4 linked regions of the Arabidopsis thaliana genome follow. The protein of the gene in region 1 purifies or fractionates together with the protein of each later gene. This does not show direct contact. Each region holds a gene or a part of one and is shown on either strand. Other genes may lie near its edges. The genes, in order: AT1G74050, AT2G27720, emb2171 and AT5G61170.

Region 1 (6,056 bases):
AACTACCAAAACTAAACTAAACTAAGATAAGATTTATTTCGTAATTGTTACCTTCCATGACAAACAAACCAAAAGACAACAGAAACTTGGCCAGAAAAGTTTTAAGAACTCGTTCATCTCCTTGATTCAATCTCTTTTAAAGAAACTCCAAATTTTCAAACAACAATTCGCTTGAATACAAAAGGTTTTACGTTCCCCAAGATTCAAAAATGTCAGAAGTGCGAACTGGATTCCTAACCATGACAACAATAATCTTGATAAGTATAGGCCTCACAATGATGGGAACAGGTCTATACCAAAAAACAACAATGTCTTCTTGCATCCGAGAAACCTCAAGCCAGTTCACGTTACTCGGTCTGCTTCTTCTGCTGATTCCTCAGATCGGTCTATACGGAATCTGTTGCCGCTCCAAACGCCTTTTCAATTTCTTCTTCTACGGCATGGTTGTGCTCATTATCATTGTATCTTATTATTCAATCAAATGTTCCATTTACAACACCACTTTTGGCATAGCTAAGAATCCCGCCAAGGACAACCGTACCGTGCCACAGTTACTTGGTAGGTTGGTCTCTAAGGAGAAGTTCGAGAAAGTAACCTATTGTATCATTCACAAACATGACTGTAATTACAATGCCAGCAAAAACAGCAATGTTTGGGTAAGTTTTGAATCTTTTTACTATTAATAAGAGACATGTCTATATGAAAATGTGCATGCTTATATTTAGGATATATGTGCAGAAGTATTGCTGTGCACAACCGGTGGGATGTGGGACCATAACGATGTTCGACAAGCCAGGCGAGTGGAGTTGGAAACATCAGTATGAACGGAACCAAGTTCCAGAAGAGTGTTCTTATGAGTATTGTTTAGATTGCAGAGGCTGCCAACTAAGCATCTTAAAAGCCATTGTTCATCAATGGAAATATCTCTCGATGTTTGCTTACCCTGCTCTAGTCCTTTCCTGCATCAGTCTTGCTATAGCTTGGTCTCTCAAGGAGACTATCCACGAAAACGAAGATTATCGAGGTTCTTATAGTTGATCTATGATTTAATCCTAGAATACTTACTTCAAATTACATCAAAAAGTGTCAGATTTGTAGAAATGCCTATAGAAAACGGTGAATGATTTTTGAATGAGATAACGCCAATGTTCATGTAGCTTGCACATACATACCATTTTGATGTTTATTCTATATTTATGTTCAATTTCATACCGAGTTATATAGCATAACGATCCCCTTTTTTTTTGACAATAATTATCCCATTTCTATCACGAACCACGCTACAAAGCTCACAATCAAAAACAGGATCGATAGTTTGTCCATACGTAAGAACAGAGAATGTATAAGCCAAAAATTGTATGTGTTCAGTGAACAAGAACAAAACAACCATTTAGAAGGTAAAACACTTCAGGAGACAGATACTCTAGAGACCTCAGAAAAAAAGTAATGAAATCTAGAAAACAAGCTCATGGGGCTTCATTCCTTGTTTCAATGAAAACCTTGCGCCAAGGTAAGTCTTCAACTCTGGAACTGCTTCAATGGCTTTGATCAAAGCTGCATCCACAGCTTTCTGGTCATCTTTCTTCACCTGTGGGATCTCCTTCTTCTCCTGTGAAATATAAAAGAGAGATGTTATGTCAAGCATATGTTTTGGTTTGGAAAATAACAAGTGATATAAAGATATTTTCAATGTCTATTCTTCCGGAACAAACTGTGATAACCAAATTTAAAGGAGAGAAACACAAGATGAATTGCGTCCTTTCCATGTTTTGCGATATAAGGTTATACCTCTTTCTCAGCCTCAAAGAACTCTCCTTCTGTCTTCTTCTTTTTCTTCTCAGCAACCTTGCCAAAGTACTTATCATCGAATTTATCGAGGGTGACTCCAGAAATGTCAACCTTTGTGGAAGTGCCAATCACATAGGCCTGGTTAACACGTCTCAAAGGAACACCATTGATCTTGAATGGTCCTAAAGAATTGTTAAAAAAAGGATGAACAATTCAGATGGTAAAAATCAGTGAATGAGCTTCGCTTCAAATGATTTATAGGAGACAAGTTCATGAGAACAGATAGAGAATAACTCACCAGTCACAAGAAGCAAACCAGAGGCAAGCTGCTTAAGGAAGACAACTCTCTTTCCCTTGAACCTACCAGCAAGGATAATCAACACTGTACCTGGAGTAATGCTAGCTCTGCAATACAGATATAAGAAGATCGGATCATGTTGGAAACATATATAAGATCTATTGAAGACGTTACAGAGCATAGACATTAAATTTGGTATACAAATGAAAATCAAATTCGCTTTTTTTCTTTTTACTATCAACCTGAGACAAGCTTAATCATACTAATAACAGTAATGTATAAGAAAACTAGATGTATTCACAGAAATTATGAACCTTTTGAAATTCAAGTTTAACTCCACTAACAATCTTCACAAACCAATGCATTTCAACTATTCTTCAAATATCCTAGAGACAAATGATTTACACAATGCAAAATTTGGACACTTTTCCAGCAGATATTCAAATCTTATACAAACCCACTTAGCAAACGAGCCAAAGAAATCAACCAAACACATGGAAGATAATTGCATCGATACCAGTGTCAGACTAAGTACCTGAGCTTGGTTGGTTTTGCCGTGCGCCTGTTGGGGAGAGGTTTCTTAACATCTTCAGCTGGATAGAACTTCGGTGGCTTCTCCACCGGAGCATCAACCTTAGATTTAGCGTCGTGACGTGGGAAAACGCCTCCATTTTTGGCCTTGATAGCCCACAAACCTCTCTTATGGTACATCTGGGATCTCGAGTATTTACCAACACCCCTGATCAGATCAGGGTTTCTGTTGACCTTCGGGGTCCTCTGTTTCGCCGGCATGGTTCTCTCTGTCGTAATGAATCAAGGAAAAATTTTCCGGCTGAGAGTGGATAGAGGAGAGAGTTGAGGCTGAGGATAGGTGAATTTGAAGACACTGAAACCCTAATTAAATTTTAGGGCTTTCTTGGGCTCATGGGCTTTACAATTATATCGGCCTTTTAATGTGGACCGTAACATGCATAATAGGATTTGTTTTTTCTTACAACTTTGTAGTATTAAATCTTTTCACCTAAAACTATTTTGACAGGATGATAAAAAAATCAGAGTTAGAGAGTAGTTTATCTAAAAACTCAGGCTAATAATCCCCACACAATTTGACCAACGCCAAAATCAGAGCAAGACGATTCCTTCACCTGTAAGAGTGCAATGGATCACATATATCATTTATAATTAGTTTGAGACGCTTTTGATGAAGCTGATGAGGATTTCTCCGCTTTATTCACCTTTACATGTCCTTCTTCAACAAACATTGGTCGGCTTAAAAGCTCTTCAAAAGATCAATGTGCACATGCCTATGTATATATATACTAATGACCCCGTTACTCAATCAACAAATATTGAATCTTGATCACCGAAAACCAAAATTTCATTAGATTCAATGGCTATGGCTAGTAGTAGTAGCAGCTCGTCATTGTTTCCTATCCAACAACAACCTCAACAACAATTAGGAGGCAATGAGATCACACCTATGGCTACCAATGCCAATCTAATCGCAGCACCAAACGCTCCAAACCATTACTCTTCCAGCTCCATTGGACCCTTCTTCGCTGTCATATCTGTTCTCATCATTCTTGCTGTTCTCTCCTGCTTCTTGGGTCGATTCTGCGCACGGAGCCGCCAGAGAACTGGTCTAGTGGCTGAAGTCAATCCGTTGGAGATGATAAAGAGTGGTGGGCTTTTAGGTTGGCTGAGACGAAAATGGAGACGGTGTTTGGCCGGAGATGTTGAGGCCGGAGCTAAAGTTGCTGATTGTGCTAGCAAAGAAACACCTAAAGATAATGATCAAATTCGTCTAGAAGCACCTCCAGCTTGATCTCGGTGCATGTGACAGAGACTAGTAATAAGAGTTTCAATATTCGAAGTAGATTGTAAGCTAAACTATATCATTATTGCAATGTTATTTTCAATTCTCAATTTCATCACTTCGTCATGACTTAAGCATTACTAGAATCTTGTGAAAAGTTCTCCTTCAAAAACAGGATTGATAAATTATCCATATAAGACAGAAATCCAGATAGCAGCAGCCAAGATTTTATGTCTCTGGTCAGTGGACGAGAACAGAACCAACCAGTTGGAGTGTAAAACTTCAGGAGACAGATACACTAGAAACCTCAGAAAAAAAGTAATGAAATCTAGAAAACAAGCTCATGGGGCTTCATTCCTTGTTTCAATGAAAACCTTGCTCCGAGGTAAGTCTTCAACTCTGGAACTGCTTCAATAGCTTTGATCAAAGCTGCGTCCACGGCTTTCTGGTCATCTTTCTTTCCCTGTGGAATCTCTTTCTTCTCCTGCGGAAGGAAAAAAAGTATATGGAGGTCACGCATAGCTTTTAATTTGGGTAGTGTATAAAGGAGAGAACTTTAATCGTCTATTACAAAATGAGAACCAAATGACTCTTAGAGAAAGACAAGAAGAATGTTTGGGATACCTCTTTCTCAGCCTCGAAGAACTCTCCTTCAGTCTTCTTCTTTTTCTTCTCAGCAACCTTGCCGAAGTACTTATCATCGAATTTGTCGAGGGTAACTCCAGAAATGTCAACCTTTGTGGAAGTACCAATGACATAGGCCTGGTTAACACGTCTCAGAGGAACACCATTGATCTTGAATGGTCCTAAGGTCAATAACAAAACAGGAATGTCAACTTTATACAGAATACAGAAAGCAAGTTTAGTGAATGGGCGTTCTGCATTTCGAATAAAGAATGTGGCAAATAAAGAAAGTAGATTAGCATAAAACTCACCAGTCACAAGAAGCAAACCGGAGGCAAGCTGCTTAAGGAAGACAACTCTCTTGCCCTTAAATCTACCAGCAAGGATGATAAGCACTGTCCCTGGAGTGATGCTAGCTCTGCAATAGAGAAATATGAATATCGGATTACAACATAACAAATTCCGAACAATGTAACACAAAATACAAGCAAAAGAGGCAAACTTTCCACAGAAATCAAGATAAATTCACAAACCAAATAGAACAGACCACAATGACTAATTAACGATTTCAAAACACTAAGCTAGTCAAAAAATTTCGGGAGATTCAAAGATTTAAATGCATACAAAGCACTCCTTAAGAACCAAAGAAAACAACTATTGCATTGAGCTAGATTTCAGACTCCAAGACAATGAGACAGTGTATCAGCTAAGTACCTGAGCTTGGCTGGTTTTGCCGTGCGCCTGTTGGGGAGAGGTTTCTTCACGTCTTCAGCTGGATAGAACTTCGGTGGCTTCTCCACCGGAGCATCAACCTTAGATTTAGCGTCGTGGCGGGGGAAAACGCCTCCATTTTTGGCCTTGATTGCCCACAAACCTCTCTTATGGTACATCTGAGACCTTGAGTATTTACCAACTCCCCTGATCAGATCAGGATTCCTGTTGACCTTAGCTGTCCTCTGTTTCGCCGGCATCGTTACTTTCTCTCTGTTGCAATCCCTGGACGATAATCAAGAAGAGACTTTCCGGCCGAGAATAAATTGGGTAGTGTAGCAGAAGAGGATAGGTCACATTTGAAGACACAGAAACCCTAGGGGATGCGTGGGCTCGTGGGCTTTAGAGTAAATTCGGGCTTTATTATGGACCGAGACAGTTTTGTTTTGGGCAAATAGAAATAGTAGAAATTGTTTATTACACTCTTTAATATCCAGTTAAGGCCCAAGCAATTCAATTCTGTGGACTATGCTCCGGCCTAACCGCGCAAGACAACAATTTCTCAATCACACGCTTATAATTACTCAATTGATAATGTAGTTCCACCAAACCACCATGGCTGCAATCTTTCCATGTGGTTGATGTGCTTAACAGTTTAAGTTGTCTTGCATAGCACACAAAAAACGTTGCCAACAAACAATGAGCTCATTCATAGAGTTTGTGACTCGATCAAACCACAATTGGTGACTACAACCTTAGAATAAGGCCGGTTAAACCCTCTCTCCGCCACCACAGCTCTCTTATCTCCGATCACTTTAG
Region 2 (5,070 bases), on another chromosome or scaffold:
AAACTATAAGTATATTTACTTTCCTTTTGTGATGTTGATGATGAACACTTATTATCAAGCTCTTGTTTGATTCTATCTGTCTCTGTTGTAAACTATTAGATAATATTTGGTTTTACTTATAAGAAACTTATCTTGTGTCTTAATCGTAGAAGTTAAATCTATTTGTTATCTAAACCTTGTAGCATCTAGCTTGAACTAGAAACCTGTTACATAATACTTACTCTTTTCAAAACAATTTATATTTTTGAGTAAGTCATCTTCTGTCCTTATATTTTACCTTGTTTATGGTTTTCTACATTGCAGAAAATGGAGCAGGAGAAGCTTCAGAAGTTAGCTCGACAGGTAAATAATTCCTTTAACTCCAGTTGTTGAAACTACGAATAGCTTGTTTAGATAAAGAGAAAATTTACAGTCTTGTGTGGCTGAAACTTCTTATGAACTTACTAGGGTCCTGGAGAACAAGCAGCAGGGTCAGCAAGCGAAGCAAAGGTTGCTGGTGCAACAGCATCTGCATCAGCTGAGTCGGGCCCAAAGGTGTCAGAAGACAAGAACAGAAACTATGCGGTTGTGGCAGGTGTGGTTGCTATTGTCGGTTCGATTGGTTGGTACTTGAAAGCAGGTGGAAAGAAGCAGCCAGAGGTCCAAGAGTAAAGAGATAGATTGATTGATGGACTTGTGATGAGTGAATAAAACAGGGAGTAGCATTACTCATTCCTCCCTTGTGAGACACTTTGGAATCAAATCTTACGTTGCTGCTACTCTCTTTGAGTCTTTTCTTTTGTTTTTGTTACTTGACACAGTTTTTTTTTGTTTCCGGTTTGTTGACATTTAGTTTCTCAATCTAAACTCCAGAGACTTATTTTCGCTCTCTTTTGATCAGAATTAGGTATATCTTTATTCGGATAATCCTTCCCATCCAAACTGAAATTGTTAGTACCAACATTTTTTTTATCAGAACATATCTCGAGTACTGTGTTGATTGGATTCACATATCTTATGTTTCCAGAATCTGAACAATACAAAGAGGGAAGAGTCTGTTTTACACTACACCAAATCCTTACTCTAGGGAATTCTTCTGTATTCTCTTTAGGTTTAATTCTTAGTAAGCGAGTGAATAAGAGAATTTACTAAAGATCGTTCATAAGTGGACTATTGAAGATGTAACTAAGGCAATAGTTTGAAATATAAATGCCAATCACAAGTGGACTGATGTTTGAGTAAAAAAATCTCTTGAGAATTTCAGCAAAGTCTAAGAAGATAGTCGAATACAACAAACTAAACAACGACATAAAGATTTCGAAAGGGTACAGCAAAACCAAATGCCAAGTATACCGCATTACTCGAACAAACTGAAACCCATGTCCTGCAAATTGACACAAAACACACAACATGTGAGCCATCATTTCATTTGAAGAGATAAAAAACTGTTGTCAGAAAGAAAGTAAAACTTACATCATCGGATTCTTCTTTCTCTTCTTTCTTCTCTTCTTTCTTGGACTCAGCAGCAGGAGCACCACCACCTCCTCCACCTCCAGATGTAGCAGAAGCAACCGCAACACCACCACCACCTCCTGATGGTACTGAAGCTAACTTCTCCCTTCCAGCAGCAATTAGCTCAGCCAAGTCTTTCCCTTTCACTTCCTTCAACAAAAGCTCAATCTGAGAATCCTCTGTCTCAGCACCAACTGCAAAATCAAACATAACAATTGCCACACTCCATCAATTCTTCCTCCACCACAATTACAGCAATCACCTATAACAACACAGTCCAATACCAACACCATAATGCCTCTTATTGCATCACACTGTTCATTTCCAGCAAACATATACAATTCCTAGTTCCAATAACATTTCAAGTTAAACAAATTCTCACTACTAGAATAATCATGTATACATTCCAATGCTCAAATCAAAGTCACGAACCTGATCCAAGAATATCCTTGATATCGCCAGTGGTTGGGGAAGCTTTCCCGCTCAAGACGGCAAGCAAAAACGCAGCAACAACCTTCATTTTCTGAAGAAAAACAAAAACAGATCAAAAATCAAACATAGTACGATTACGTAGGAGAAGAAGGAGAGAGAAATGGAAATGGAGGCGCTTACTGCGGAAGTGTTGATGGATCTCGCAGGAGGCGGAGTGAGATTAGGGTTTTTAGACGGCGATGGAGAAGAAGTACGAAAAAATGAAAACTATATGATTTATATACGCTTAGGGTTTTTAATCTTATCAATGTATCTCCGAATTTAAAATTTTATTTAGGCCCAGTTCTTTCAAGCCCATATTTATATGGGCTCAATATTTCGATTGACGGGTAATATTGATGTTGAGAAGAGAACGACCAGATTATACAATTCTCTAGTTTTATTTTGTTTGATGGATGGGATTTCACCTCTAACCTCGTCTTCTATAGCACCTTCTTGGTCGATGACATCAAAAGTAGCTTCAACTCTACACCTGTTGTTTCCGAAACATCGCCTGCGTATGGCATTTCTCGGTATATGTAGTTGACAAGTGATATGTTTTGCAAGTTACTAATAAATTTGTGGTGTCAAAGTTTTAGCATAGTCTAGTTATTTTCTCATACGAATTATGATGTATTTACATATTGGACGGCATTGAAGGGGGAACAATTCAAGACTAGAATTTTTTTTTTATCCTTTTCTTACAATAATACTATTCTTGAAGTCATACGTAAGCCGAATCTGAATCTAGGTTCCAAATGAACGACAACGTATCATTAGCAAAGTCAAGGCTAGAGGTATCTCATCACCATTCGAGTCAAGATTTAAGACCATGACTAGGACCAATGCTTTTGTTGGCTACTAAAAACTCCAGAGTGACAAAGGCGATTGAGATAGAAGCAGAAATGCTAACAACAAAGTGCAAATGACATTCGGGTCAAAAACTCTTGAGAATTTCAGCAATGTCTAAAAAAGATGATCGAATACAAACTAAACAACAACAACATATAGATTTCAAAAGGTTACAATATTAAAAGAGGACAACAAAACCGGACTTTTCATGCTACTACCAGCTTACTCGAATAGACTGAAACCCATGTCCTGCAAATTAAAAACAAAAACACACACAAGTGAGCCATCATTTTTAGGTTAAATTTCAAGCTACTATTAAGATCAAGACTTTTGTTAGAAGGAAAGTAAACTTACATCATCGGATTCTTCCTTTTCTTCCTTCTTCTCTTCTTTCTTGGACTCAGCAGCAGAAGCACCACCACCTCCTCCACCTCCAGATGTAGCAGAAGCAACCGCAACACCACCTCCGCCACCAGACGGCACTGAAGCTAACTTCTCCCTTCCAGCAGCAATCAACTCAGCCAAATCTTTTCCTTTCACTTCCTTCAACAAAAGCTCAATCTGAGAATCCTCTGTCTCAGCACCAACTGCAACACCAAACAAAAACAACAATGCCACATTCCATCAATCATCCCAAACTCATTATTGTATCCCATTGTTCACTAAATCATTACTCTTAACAATACTTACGCATCTCGACTATCATAAACACCGTTTAAGTCGATAGGAACCATAAAAATCCCTAATATACATATCATTTCAGCTTAAGCAAGTTCTCAACTATCTAATAAAGATTTCAAATCGAATTCTCCAGCGACTCAAACAACGAATCTAATCATATTGTAATGAAATCGATTGCGATTCATCAAAACGAACCTGATCCAAGGATAGTCTTGATATCGGCACTGGTTGGTGAAGCTTTTCCGCTCAAAACAGCGAGCAAGTATGCGGCAACAACCTTCATCTTCTGGAAAAATAGTGAACAGATAAGTAAATGGAGAATTTGATCGGAGAAGACGATGGAGAAATTGAAATGGATTAGTGTCGTTTACCGTGGAGACTGATAGATCTCGTAGGAGATTGTGAGATTAGGGTTTTGTGCAGACGGCGATGAAGAAGTGAAGAATTAAGGAAGTATTTTTAGTTTATATACAATTAGGGTTTTCTCTACTTTGAGTCTCTCCGGGTTTAAACTATTATCGGATATGTTTAATGGGCGTTGGCCCGGTTCATCGCTAGGCCCAATATTAATTTTAAAGGTGATGAGAAAATTTCTCAATTCTTCAGTCAATAAAAACCTATTTCTTTTGCAAACTTTATAACTCTTGATAATAATGTTCATATAAGTGAAATCATAAAACAATATTGTTTGTGTAAACAAAACAATTAATCTTGTTATCACTAATAAAAGTGAAACAAATTAAATTTATAATTAGTAAATAAAGTAGATTTATGCTTTTTAAAAAAATCTTTTTTGCAGTAGCTAGATTGTGTCTATATGTGTAATCTTTTTTATTTTTTATCCTTTTAAGTAAGTTAGAAAAATCTTTAAAATGTATTATATAAAAACATTAATGGCATTGGATATGAATAATAATTAAAGATTTACAAAAATTTACCTTTTAATATATAGTAGATTTCATTCCATTTAAAATCATTTATGTAAATGAATCTTAATCCGAGAAAAAACAATTATATCTTGCATGGTCTAGAAATTATTTAAGCAGCATCGTTACATACTTAGAATCGGTATATATCTACACAACGTGTTTGCTCCACCGTATAGGAAGTTTCACAAAGAAAAAATCATAGCTAATTCTCGTTTTCTGTCTCAACCTTGTCGATCAAGTCATCTCCCATATAAGGTAAAGCTTATTCGATTGTTTAGCAATGGATCTGAAGAAGCCGAGTGCTCGAGGTGGAGATGATAAGCAGCAAATTGTTGGCGATGAACACTCTAGACGTAATAAGCTCTCCGAGGAAGACAAAGTCCGTTCTCCCATTTGCTGTATGATGGGTCATATCGATACTGGTAAAACAAAGCTGTTAGATTACATCACAGGAAATGTACAAGAAGGCGAGGCTGGAGGTACCACTCAGAAGATGGGTGCAACATATCTCTCAGCGAGAAACATCCTAGAGAAGACCATGGAACTGAAATCCGATACAAAACTTAAGGTGCCACGTCCACTGTTTATCGATACACCTGGTTACGAGTTCTACACAAATCTTCGCTCAAGAGGCTTAGGTTTGTGT
Region 3 (5,851 bases), on another chromosome or scaffold:
TTGCGGAGATTGCGGAGATTAAAATTGCGGAGATTAAAATTGCGGAGATTAACCTTATTAGAACTTTTACTTATTTACCCATTAACAATCTTAAAGAAAGCCATCGCGTTGAGTGGATTTGGAGATTAATTGCAGATTTGGAATTGAAGATACTCTCGGAAAGGTTTTTTTCTTCGATAAAGTGAGAAAAAAAAAGAAAAAAAGAGAGAAGAGATGGGAAAAGGAGAGAGAAAAGATGACCGATGGAAAAAATGTAGTTAAAGGGTAAATAAGTAAAATAATTTATCTAAAGTGTCTTCTCCATTTAAAGTGTTTTAAAGAGTCTAATCACGTAATATTCTCTTAGTCTAATGGGGTTTGGACTTAAAACATAAAAGTGACATGCTGCACGTAAGATGTAGACTAAAAGTCTAAAATAGAAGCATCTTCATTTGATATTATCCTTGCTTTCTCTTGTTGAGAACCTGAAATCTTTTGGGGGTATTAGGTAGGACTTAAAAAGACTCGATGTTGATTGCTATGTCAATGAAAACTTGACCATTTTATTAGTTGTATAGTGTATGAAATGAAATTATCCAACTTTGTCTTCTCGAACCACTTCTCATTATATCACAAATTCACCGGTTTTATATATTGGGGCACACATACAATAGGGAAAATTTACAAAAAAAGATAGACATGACATTCATACAACTTGTTCTTCTATAACCACTCACTATATCACAAGAGTACTCACTACTCACAGTCACAAGGTTACAAAACAAGAGAGACATAACTTTTCTACAAATTTGGAAAAGTACTAAACGGTGTTCTTGGTCTCATCTATTGTTATCATGTTCTTGAGATAGAAGAAGATTGGTGAATTTTCTTGACTAATCTTTGTATCATCGTGTAAACGAAACTTGCTCTTTTCTTCTTGATCTTCTCTTGACCCAATTTATGCTCTCAAATCTCAGTCCCTTGACCCAGAGCTTGGCTCACCTGGAATATTTTGAAAGAATCAACAATTTGAATTTCTTTAATCTGGTTCCAATGTTGTGAGTGGTGAAAACAAAGTAACATGATTAGCATTAAAAGTAAAAGTAAATAATAAATCTCACCTCTTGAGTTAATGACACTAACTAGATTGTTGAGTCAGGAGATTGTTGAGTTTTGATTAGGCCTATCTGACGATTTGAGCCAGCAAGACTGTCCCAAGTGCTTGGAGTTTCAATAGAATTCTGTGATATCAACCGAAATTATAGCTTTGTGAGGTGAAATCTGAAACAGAGGATTATAAAGGTGAACATAGTAGAATTTAGCTTACTGTTTTTGGAGATAGTAAATCAGAATCATTATCATCACTGCTACAATCACTGAAGACACCAGTTAATGAGTTTGGAGGTCTGTAATCATTGCGATTATCTTGCATAAACATGATATTCCTCTGTTTATCATCATCATTCAACCATGTTTCCCATTCCTCTCTTGGTATAGCATCCTCTCGATTTGAGCATCTTGACGCACATCAAGAAACCCACTAAACCAACTTGGTATAGCATTCTCGACTATGCTAATGACTTACATCGACATGGCTCGTGTCACCATCGAAATTTGTTGGCCGGAGGTAATGGTCGACGATCTCCTCTTTGGTCGGACGGAATCTGAAACCCACCGGATTCACCATTTTTCGAGAGTGAATAAAGTTTCAGTTTTAAAAAAAATGGAGAGAAAAAGAGGGATCAGAAGTATTTCGCCATTGTTGCTATTATGCAAGTTCTTTTGGTAGGAGGGAGAAGACGGATATATACACAATTTTCCTATTATTCATGAAATATTGAAAAACAGATTCCCAAATCCACAATTGACTTGCTAATATAAGAGTTATATACAAATTTTTAGGCTCTACTTAAGTCTGTTCACACAATTGATTCGCCCTAAACATATTTCTAATTGCGTAACAAAATAGTGTGAATCACTTGAATTCTATGTTTTTTAAAACAAAACCGAACAAACACAAGAACCAGTGAATCAAATCACAAGTTTACGATAGACTAAAACACTGAGGTGACAAACTGGCACGAGAAACGAAGGTTCTTATAAGAACTAGAATCAGCTTTAAGGCATAACAAAAGTCTAAGACAAAAACAAAAAACAATCCCAAATAGAGATAATGCTAAACGTTCAACACAAAACATAGAGATCTCAAGCTTGCTTAAACGATGGCGTTCGCAGCACTTGCGATTCTTGGCCACAGATCAGCACACTCCTTTCCGATTGGTCCAGTGATAGCAGATCCTAATTACATCACACAACAGACTCATCAGCTACAAGTAAATATGATACTACTGATTTATCACTACGAGATTGGCTTTGAGTTGCCCCATATCAAACTTCTAGATAAATTCAGATACACAATACTTCCTCTAGTAACTACTAACTCATCAGGAGGTTATCAAAACTTGCATACATAAACAACTCATACATCTACCAGAGAATTCAATAACAAATAAGCAAAAACATCAACTTCTTACCTTTCATTTCACCCTTGGGATTGACAATGACACCAGCATTATCTGCAAAACCAAAACTTTCTATCAGACAATCACACTTCAGAGAAATTGAAATGCAAATCACAGAGAAGAAAAGCAAAGGATTACCTTCGAAATACATGAAGACACCGTCCTTTCGGCGCCAAGGCTTCCTCTGCCTAACAATGACAGCAGGAAGCACCTTCTTACGGAGATCAGGCTTACCTTTCTTAACAGTAGCCATAACCATATCACCAACACACGCTGATGGCAAACGGTTAAGACGACCCTTGATTCCTTTAACCGAAATGATGTAAAGGTTCTTAGCTCCGGTGTTGTCAGCACAGTTCACAGTGGCTGCCACTGGAAGACCCAGTGACATCCTGAACTTGTTACCAGAGGTTCCTCCTCTTCCTATTCACAAAAAACAAACACAAAAGTTACAGATCTAAACACTATCAACCAAAGTAGAGACATATAAGACTAATATTCATGATCCAGAAGCTTTACTAATAGAAATTAGGGTAAAACCATTGTCATTGAAAGTGAAATGAAGAAAATAAGCGAAAACAGGATATGATTCATACGAGATGTACACAGATTAGGTTAAGCGAATTAGAGATGAAGAAACGTTTTTTTACCTCGCTTCGACATGGTTGCAGAGTAGCAGCTCTCTCCTTGAAAGAGTTTCAATGGCAGCGCCGAGAGGGTTTATATACGCTTGAACTAGGGTTTTCTTCATGTATTGTGAGCTGACCTGGACTTTATTTTATGGGCCGAAATAATTTAACAATAAGCCCAATAATGTTCTCTTTCTTTTCTCATCATCTTTTTTTTGGAAATCATCTTAGGCCCAATATATCATAAAGGATTTTGAATTTTTTTATTTTTTTTATCAAAAAGGATTTTGAATGTAAAATTTGATCGGCTAGCAACATACAGAGATGGACATTTTTGTCTCCACCAAAATCACAACTGTAATCATCTTCTCAAAACCAAAAATAAAAAAGTAAAGTGTTGCATGTATCTATCTTTATCTGTTGATAAATTAGGATTGCTATTTTCAGTTGCAAGTTAAAACAATCGTAGAAGCTTTTTACATGGTTTTGATGAAATGACAATTGATTTCGGTTCGGGTTTGAAATTACATGTGATTTCTGTTTGGTTTAGATGGTTTTGAAATAAAAATTAATTTTGGTTCGGTTTGCATTAGAATTAATACGGTTTTGAGAAAAAAAACAAAAGAAAAAAGTCACTCGAGGCTGTTTTGGAAACAAAGCGAGTAGATGTAAAATAGGCATGATTTTGTGGGTTTACCCCTACAGAAATCGACGACACGCGTTCAACGCGAGGTTGGTGCGAGTGGGCATGGAATGGAGCGCGTGGCGCGAGGTTGGTGCGAGTGGGCGAAGTCCGGAGCGCTCTGATTGGCTGAAAAAATAGAAATAATGTTGATGTAGCTCCTCCTCTCCTCCTCTATTATTAATTTTTCGTCATTCTTCAGTTCTGAAAGTTGTCTGGTTTTAAGATGCAATGAAATCTTATTCTATAACCTTTTAAAAAAACGAATATATCTAATTATATAACCTTAAAAAAAAAAAGAATATATCTAATTATATAACCTTGTTCTAATTATTAAGTCCTCCTTCAATCTATTAGATTATTCGTTTTTTTTTAGATTATGAAATAAATTATTTTATTCTTATTATTACTTTTTCAAAATTTTATGTTTGTTGAAACAACAGTAGTTTACATAGCAATACAGATACAAGGGTATTTTCGTCATTTTCCAAAACGACATAGTTTTCAGGAGCTGAGGGAGGATGAGGATGATAAATTGATAATAATAAGAATGAAACATAAAATTTGTATGTTTTTGGTTATTTTGAAATCATTGATTAATGTCACACAAAAAAAAAATAGAATGGATTTTGAGATAATAAAATTTTCATTTTCATTTTGTTCTGCAGACATTGAAAACTAGATTCAGCTGAGCCCTTAAGAAATCAAAGTGAGTTGAATATTTTTCTAAAAATGTGAAAATTGGTAAAAGTTTGTCCTCATTTTGCTAGAAAAAGGATTCACTTTAAAGTTAAAAGAATAATATAAAGCTTGTTTGGAAATCTCAGCATTGCACTACCGTTGCTTGCAAATCTAGAATCTGGATTTTAAGATACTTCCGGTGCTCTTGTTCATGTTTGCACCAATGGGACTGTTTTGGTGACACATGGAGGTGTTGAAATGGGTTAAGGATATGCATACAAAGGTTGCTGCAGCGGCCTTTAACATTCCCCTTAGTTCGGTTTTTGTGTCAGAAACAAGCACATACAAGGTACCTCTAACTCGGTTACATGTACTCTGTGGACTTTGGCCAAGACAAAACTGTTATTGTTCTCTCTTATCATTTTTGTCGTCTCTTAATAGGTTCCAAATGCCTCACAAACTTTTATTGCTCTCTTGTCGTTTTGATTGCCTCTTAATAGGTTCCTAATGCGTCACCTACTGCTGCTTCTGCGAGCTCTGATATGTATGGTCCTGCAGTTTTAGACGATGTTAAGCATATTATAGCAAAATTGGAGCCTGTTACATCTAAACACAATTTCAACACCATTCGCTGAGGGTAGCTTTCGAAGAGCTCAAGTGGGGAGATGCAGCTCATACATGGATTAAACCATGAGCTTTACTCACTTGCGGACCTGGAAACTAAAAAATACCTTAAGAAGATGCTTTACTCACAACATTCCCTTTCTCTTCTCAAGGTATGCAACCATAAGAAGAAGCACTTCTGAATTGGTAGAAACAAATTTGGAACTGATGAACCTAGGATTATACTTTGTTTAATCCGAATAGAAATGTTGGTCAAAGTCATATATGTAAGTAACTTCCAGTCTCCAGTACATGTAACATTACAAAGATATAGGTTTCTTCAAATCAGTAACTTCTTGGAGAAAAAAAAACAAAGAATGTAAAATTTGATAGTTCCAAAAAAACTAGCAACAATGTATAAATAAAAATATAAAATATGTAAATAATTCTTCTATGATGACCAAAATAAACCAATAAATTACAACTTCTAAGTCTAAATATTAAAATTTTGTTTAACATTACAAATCATTGATGCGATGGATCACTCTTGGCTGAATTTACCAGTGATGGGCTCCTTTTCGATCCAGTCTTTACGCTCTAGAACTCTATTAAAAAAGGTTTATTTATTTTGACATATGCCATGAAATTTGAAGAACAGAACTAAACAGTGAGTTTCTTTGGTTAGGCAACATAACACTTTTTTTTACCTAAAGAAGAGATTGTAAATGAGAAAAAACTGCAGACCATAAAAGTTG
Region 4 (5,745 bases), on another chromosome or scaffold:
GTCTTCTTCTAAAACATTGTTGTTGGTTTATAGATTTTATCTGCTTTAGAAATTAACAAGAGACAAAGATTAGGTAAAAGCATAACCGACTTGTGTTCTATGAAAACTTAAGTGACAACTAAACATCATGAATATTCAGGAAATCCTGAAAATTTAAACAGAATTATAGTAATTTCTGAAAAACTCAAGAAATTATGGAATAAAAAGAAAAAAGAAAAAACTATGGACACTTTTAAATTACTCAAACTAGTTTAAGGCTTTTGGAAATTTCACTTTTTGCTTTTTTTTAACTCGAGAAAATTACAATTTTATGTAGACACATTTTGCTCACAAATGTTTATTTATATATTTTCCATAAATTTATTTTTCAGCCTTTTATCTACAAAAATTTATCTTCTAAGAATGTTTTTACCACCAAAAATAATAAATATAAACCACAAAAATAAAATTATATATTTTATATATATATATATATATATATATATATAACAATTTTTATCTATGATATCTGGCAGTCGCAGTTGGCTTAAGCCGCCTGGCCGCCTCTGGAGGGACCAAAATAATTCAAATGGTAATTACGTGCCTTGGCTTCCAACCAACGTTTTTGACTAGGGCTGACTCGGTAGCTTGTTATGTTAGTATAAGAGTTAACTCCATCTGATACTCAGCTGAATAAACTCATACGTACAAAGGAATATTATCTAAAAGACGAGAGTACAAGTGAGAAATGGCGTTAAAGGTGATCAAGATCTCCCGAGTCAGCCCTGCAACCGCCTCCGTCGACCCGCTCATTGTCCCACTCTCGTTCTTTGATTTACAGTGGCTTAAACTCAACCCTACCGAGCAAGTCTTCTTTTACAAACTCACCGAATCATCATCATCTCGCGACGTTTTCTACTCCTCCATCCTCCCCAAGCTCGAGCGATCTCTTTCACTCATCCTCACTCACTTTCGCCTATTCACGGGTCACCTTAAGTGGGATTCACAAGATCCAAAGCCGCATTTAGTTGTTCTCTCAGGAGACACACTCTCTCTCACAGTGGCTGAGACTGATGCGGATTTCTCACGTATCTCTGGCAGAGGGCTTCGTCCAGAGCTAGAGTTACGCCCTCTAATACCCGAGCTACCGATTTATTCTGACTCGGGGGCTGTTGTATCTCTGCAAGTCACTTTGTTCCCGAAACAAGGCTTCTGCATTGGAACCACAGCCCACCATGTCGTCTTGGACGGCAAAACGGCTGAAAAATTTAACAAAGCATGGGCTCACACTTGTAAACATGGCACCATACCGAAAATTCTACCAACGGTTTTAGATCGTTCTGTCGTCAATGTTCCAGCCGGACTTGAACAAAAGATGCTCGAACTTCTGCCGTATCTTACGGAGGACGACAAAGAGAACGGAAGAACCCTAAAGCTACCTCCAGTCAAAGAGATTAACGCTAAAGACAACGTCCTCCGAATCACCATCGAGATAAGTCCTGAAAACATTGAGAAACTCAAGGAGAGAGCCAAGAAAGAGTCAACACGCGCTGAGCTTCACTTGTCAACGTTCGTAGTCACGTTCGCCCATGTGTGGACATGCATGGTGAAGGCACGTAGTGGTGACCCAAACCGACCGGTTCGTTTCATGTACGCTGCTGATTTTAGGAACCGGTTAGAACCACCAGTCCCTGTGACATACTTCGGGACTTGTGTCTTAGCCATGGATTTCTATAAATACAAAGCTAAGGAGTTTATGGGAGAAGATGGATTTGTCAACACCGTCGAGATTCTCAGTGATTCGGTCAAACGTTTGGCTTCACAAGGGGTAGAGTCAACTTGGAAAGTGTATGAGGAAGGAACAAAGACAATGAAATGGGGTACACAGTTGTTGGTCGTAAACGGGTCGAACCAGATTGGGATGTACGAAACGGACTTCGGGTGGGGAAGACCCATTCACACTGAGACAATGTCTATCTACAAGAACGATGAGTTCTCTATGTCCAAGAGGAGAGATGGTATCGGTGGCGTCGAGATTGGCATCTCTTTGAAGAAACTTGAGATGGATACTTTTCTGTCTTTATTTTACAAATGGATTGGAAACTGAAAACGTACGGTCTTAATCGATCCCAGCTTTTGCTTATTTGTATTTTTATTTCTAGTTCAATAATTGCCCTATATGTACTACGCAAATTTGTATTGATTCTGTCTTTTGAATTCTATTTTTTGGGGTACAATAATCATCCATATTTGAAATATTAGTAGACTTTTCATGATCAGTGAATCTATTTCCCCCTACTTTGAAAAATCGAAACTTTGATTTCAGAAAAAAAAAGCTGTGATACGCAGTGGCGGAGGTACAGCTTCAGGAGGGGGGTCACTTGACCCCATGACTTTTACAAAAAAAAATTTAATAGCTTAATTATTTGGTATTTAGTATATAATTTGGGTTCAAATATTAAATTGACCCCCTTACTCGAAATTCAAATCCTATTTTTGCCCCACTCAATTACCATATTTTGTGTAAATCAATCTCATTATTCTTCTTCTATTAATTTCCTGAACCCTATATTAAATTTTGGTAACTGGTTTTATTATTCCCCTAAAAATACATGAATTTAGATAGACAAAACAATTAAATAATGTGGGTACTAATCTTTACATTTAGATAAACAAAAAACAATTTTAGTAACAAAAAAGATGTATATCATTTTTCACCAGATTTTTAGTAAACTTTTAAATAGAAAAATGATGAATAACATATGACTACTCGTGTATTTTCCACAAAGAATTTTTTTTCGGAAAAACAACAATAATTTACGAAATTGTGATATTATTTTTTGTTCTATTTTTTTATCTATAAAAAATTTTTTTTTAAAAAAAATCCTTGTTTTAATTTTCTCAGAAACGTGGGACCACAATATTTTCCAAAGGGTTCAGAGTTTAGCGGGCCGAATATATGTCATAGGCCCATAGGCTAAAACAATAAGGGTAGTTATGTAAAATCCGCTCACACACACTCCTCAAAAGCCCTAATCGTTTATCATAATTCCTCAATCCCGTCTTCAAGTATCGCCGACGCCGCAGCACAAAGGAGGAGAAGAAGGATCAAAGGCGCGACAACAATGGCGACAGGTAAAACAGTGAAGGATGTCTCTCCACACGAGTTCGTCAAGGCTTACGCTGCCCATCTCAAGCGTTCCGGCAAGGTAACGAATCGTGATTCTTAGCTTTTGGTCCGCATCGTTTGTCCCTAATCTAGTATTTTGATTGATGTTTGGGATTACGATTACCTCATGAAACTGCAATGATCACTGCCTGATTGAAACTTGAATTTGGCCTTACTCTAGAGCATTTTGAATCGTAACTACAAATCTCAATAAAGTCTAAACAGTGATTTGCTAGTGTCATTTCAGTGAAGATAGGTTTCTGCTTTTGATTCCAATGTTGTTCCTTCCATGTAGATTGAGCTGCCTCTGTGGACAGACATCGTCAAGACTGGTAAACTTAAGGAGCTTGCTCCATATGACCCTGACTGGTACTACATCAGAGCTGGTATGTATATATAACATCTGGTCAAATCTTCTACATATTGGATTTAGCATTGTCTTTATCTGTTCTATTTAGCTTCCATGGCTAGGAAGGTTTACCTGAGGGGTGGTCTTGGAGTTGGTGCCTTCCGTAGGATCTATGGAGGAAGCAAGAGGAACGGAAGCCGTCCTCCTCATTTCTGCAAGAGCAGTGGTGGTGTTGCTCGTCACATTCTTCAGCAACTCCAGACCATGAACATTGTTGACCTCGACACCAAGGGGTAAGTATATTGTCTCTAGTTTAGATTTCTCATTGGCCTAAATTAAGTTAATACACTGGTACAAAGAAATTGTAGGAAAATAAAAATTGTATAACACAAGTTAGACACTTGGATTCGATTTTCGCTTAAGAAATCTGCTGAAACTGTAATTGTGACCTATTAAAACTCACTAGATGAAGTGTGTATAAATGGTTTTAGAATGTACTACTGCGTCATTTACTAATATACCTATGGAAGCAATTGTTCATCTTCGCTAGCTTATGATTACATGTTCTGATGTAACCAGTGGAAGGAAGATCACATCAAGTGGTCAGAGAGATCTCGACCAAGTCGCTGGAAGGATCGCAGCTGCTGTCTAAATCATAGCGACTGATGGTCAACTCCAAGTTTAAGGTTTATGTTTGAGATTTAGTAATGGAATGAGTTGCATTTGATGAAAACCAGTAGTAGAATTCCCTCTCATTTTTGTTTTGATGAGTTTTCGTTTACAAATTGCCTCTCTTTTTATTCTCAGCGACTTATGGCTTATATATTTGATTTCATCTTTGACCTCCTTTCCTTTCTATTTCATGAAATTAGTTATCAAAATTTTGATAATGGCTTGTTTAGGTTTTTACATTTAAGCTCCTCGTTCTTCTTCAAAATCAAAGTGTAGAAACAGAGATTACCAATAACTAATTGTGAACGTTTCAAAGTTTTTAAAATTTCTTGTAAACGGAGGTAACCATTAAAAAACGAATTACATTTATTATTTTGTAATATTCAAAACAAAATCAAAATCTTGAGAATCGAAACCGTTACGTATACTACAATTTATATGATCACATTTTAAATTTCGAAAATTGAGGGACATTTCAAATTCAAGAAAACATATACTCCACTAATTTAGGGTGTCTCCGTTAGTTTCTAAAACTCGTTGCCCCTTTTAATTCCAGTTCAAAAGCTCACGCCTCATACACAATCTCTAAACCCTGACCTCCCATTTCAGTTTCTCTGTTTGAGAACACTTGATTTCTTTTAAAAATGGCGGCTACAGTAGCAGAGTACGCAACTGCTAAATCATTGGCGTTGCTGGACACAGAGAACCGCGAGGTTCTCAATAGTTTTGATGCCATTTTTACTCATGGCAACACCGATCAAGTCGCTCCTCTTGATGAGCCTCTGGTCTTTAACCGCTTTGGACTCAGTCACATCTCGGCCAAAGACACCCATCAACCAAAAACGGACGTAGATGAATCAGCGAAGGCGGATTTCGCTGGTGCAAAAACGTCAGTTTGGTGGGACATTGAGAACTGCGAGGTTCCAAAGGGTTGTGACCCTCATGGGGTTGCTCAGAGCATTAGATCAGTTCTGTCGAAAAGTAACTTCTGTGGTCCGCTCACTATTTATGCCTATGGTGACACAAATCAAATCCCTTCCTCTGTACAACAAGCTCTCTCTTCCACCGGCGTATCTCTCAATCACGTCCCTGCCGGTTAATCTCTCTTCTTGAAACACCTGATTAGCTATAAATTAAAGTATGAATATTTTGGAGTTAGTGAGACCAGTCTTTGCTTTGTAGTCTCTAATGGCTTAATTATTCTCTATGTTCTTGATGATGGTGAGCATTTAACAGGAGTAAAAGACGGGAGTGACAAGAAGCTCCTTGTAGATATCATGTTGTGGGCAATGGACAACCAAGCTCCTGCTAACATAATGCTCATCTCTGGTGATAAAGACTTCTCTTATCTTCTTCACAAACTAGGTATGAAGAGGTATAACATTCTTTTGGCTCGACCTGAGAAAGCTTCAACGCCACTCATCGCTGCTGCAAAGACCGTATGGTTATGGACAAGCATTTTTAATGGCGATTGTCCTAACATACCTATTGATCTCACTACTAGACGTCATCATCATGATTCTGCCTATGAGGTATCAAGACATTTGGGTCCTAAACAAGCTCAAGGGACCAAGAG

Evidence for each region.
Region 2: the proteins of AT1G74050 (region 1) and AT2G27720 fractionate together in Arabidopsis thaliana (co-fractionation; one large-scale study listed by BioGRID). This does not show direct contact.
Region 3: the proteins of AT1G74050 (region 1) and emb2171 fractionate together in Arabidopsis thaliana (co-fractionation; one large-scale study listed by BioGRID). This does not show direct contact.
Region 4: the proteins of AT1G74050 (region 1) and AT5G61170 fractionate together in Arabidopsis thaliana (co-fractionation; one large-scale study listed by BioGRID). This does not show direct contact.

The regions. Positions count from the first base shown.
Region 1 is NC_003070.9:27,845,803-27,851,858, forward strand, and holds AT1G74050 (Ribosomal protein L6 family protein), read right to left. Parts: upstream 3,207-6,056; 5' UTR 2,879-3,206; coding exon 2,622-2,878; intron 2,194-2,621; coding exon 2,087-2,193; intron 1,971-2,086; coding exon 1,789-1,970; intron 1,610-1,788; coding exon 1,454-1,609; 3' UTR 1,236-1,453; downstream 1-1,235. Other genes in the region: TET17 (tetraspanin-17 protein), read left to right, coding at 210-656, 739-1,038; AT1G74055 (uncharacterized protein), read left to right, coding at 3,477-3,911; AT1G74060 (Ribosomal protein L6 family protein), read right to left, coding at 4,231-4,386, 4,527-4,708, 4,838-4,944, 5,241-5,497; AT1G74070 (Cyclophilin-like peptidyl-prolyl cis-trans isomerase family protein), read right to left, coding at 5,947-6,056.
Region 2 is NC_003071.7:11,815,637-11,820,706, reverse strand, and holds AT2G27720 (60S acidic ribosomal protein family), read right to left. Parts: upstream 2,012-5,070; coding exon 1,924-2,011; intron 1,836-1,923; exon of another isoform or gene 1,790-1,835; coding exon 1,745-1,789; exon of another isoform or gene 1,702-1,744; coding exon of another isoform or gene 1,686-1,701; coding exon 1,453-1,685; intron 1,364-1,452; coding exon 1,337-1,363; 3' UTR 1,129-1,336; downstream 1-1,128. Other genes in the region: AT2G27730 (copper ion binding protein), read left to right, coding at 304-342, 448-651; AT2G27710 (60S acidic ribosomal protein family), read right to left, coding at 3,037-3,063, 3,169-3,401, 3,691-3,778; AT2G27700 (eukaryotic translation initiation factor 2 family protein / eIF-2 family protein), read left to right, coding at 4,705-5,070. UniProt on the Arabidopsis thaliana protein: Plays an important role in the elongation step of protein synthesis.
Region 3 is NC_003074.8:1,164,652-1,170,502, reverse strand, and holds emb2171 (Ribosomal protein L14p/L23e family protein), read right to left. Parts: upstream 3,254-5,851; 5' UTR 3,165-3,253; coding exon 3,152-3,164; exon of another isoform or gene 3,098-3,151; intron 2,925-3,097; coding exon 2,640-2,924; intron 2,556-2,639; coding exon 2,514-2,555; intron 2,278-2,513; coding exon 2,195-2,277; 3' UTR 1,780-2,194; downstream 1-1,779. Other genes in the region: AT3G04410 (NAC (No Apical Meristem) domain transcriptional regulator superfamily protein), read right to left, coding at 1,298-1,426, 1,565-1,666; AT3G04390 (Aldehyde oxidase/xanthine dehydrogenase, molybdopterin binding protein), read left to right, coding at 4,738-4,842, 4,994-5,128.
Region 4 is NC_003076.8:24,608,054-24,613,798, forward strand, and holds AT5G61170 (Ribosomal protein S19e family protein), read left to right. Parts: upstream 1-2,978; 5' UTR 2,979-3,104; coding exon 3,105-3,188; intron 3,189-3,443; coding exon 3,444-3,534; intron 3,535-3,606; coding exon 3,607-3,790; intron 3,791-4,076; coding exon 4,077-4,149; 3' UTR 4,150-4,511; downstream 4,512-5,745. Other genes in the region: AACT1 (anthocyanin 5-aromatic acyltransferase 1), read left to right, coding at 728-2,086; AT5G61180 (Putative endonuclease or glycosyl hydrolase), read left to right, coding at 4,814-5,264, 5,352-5,745.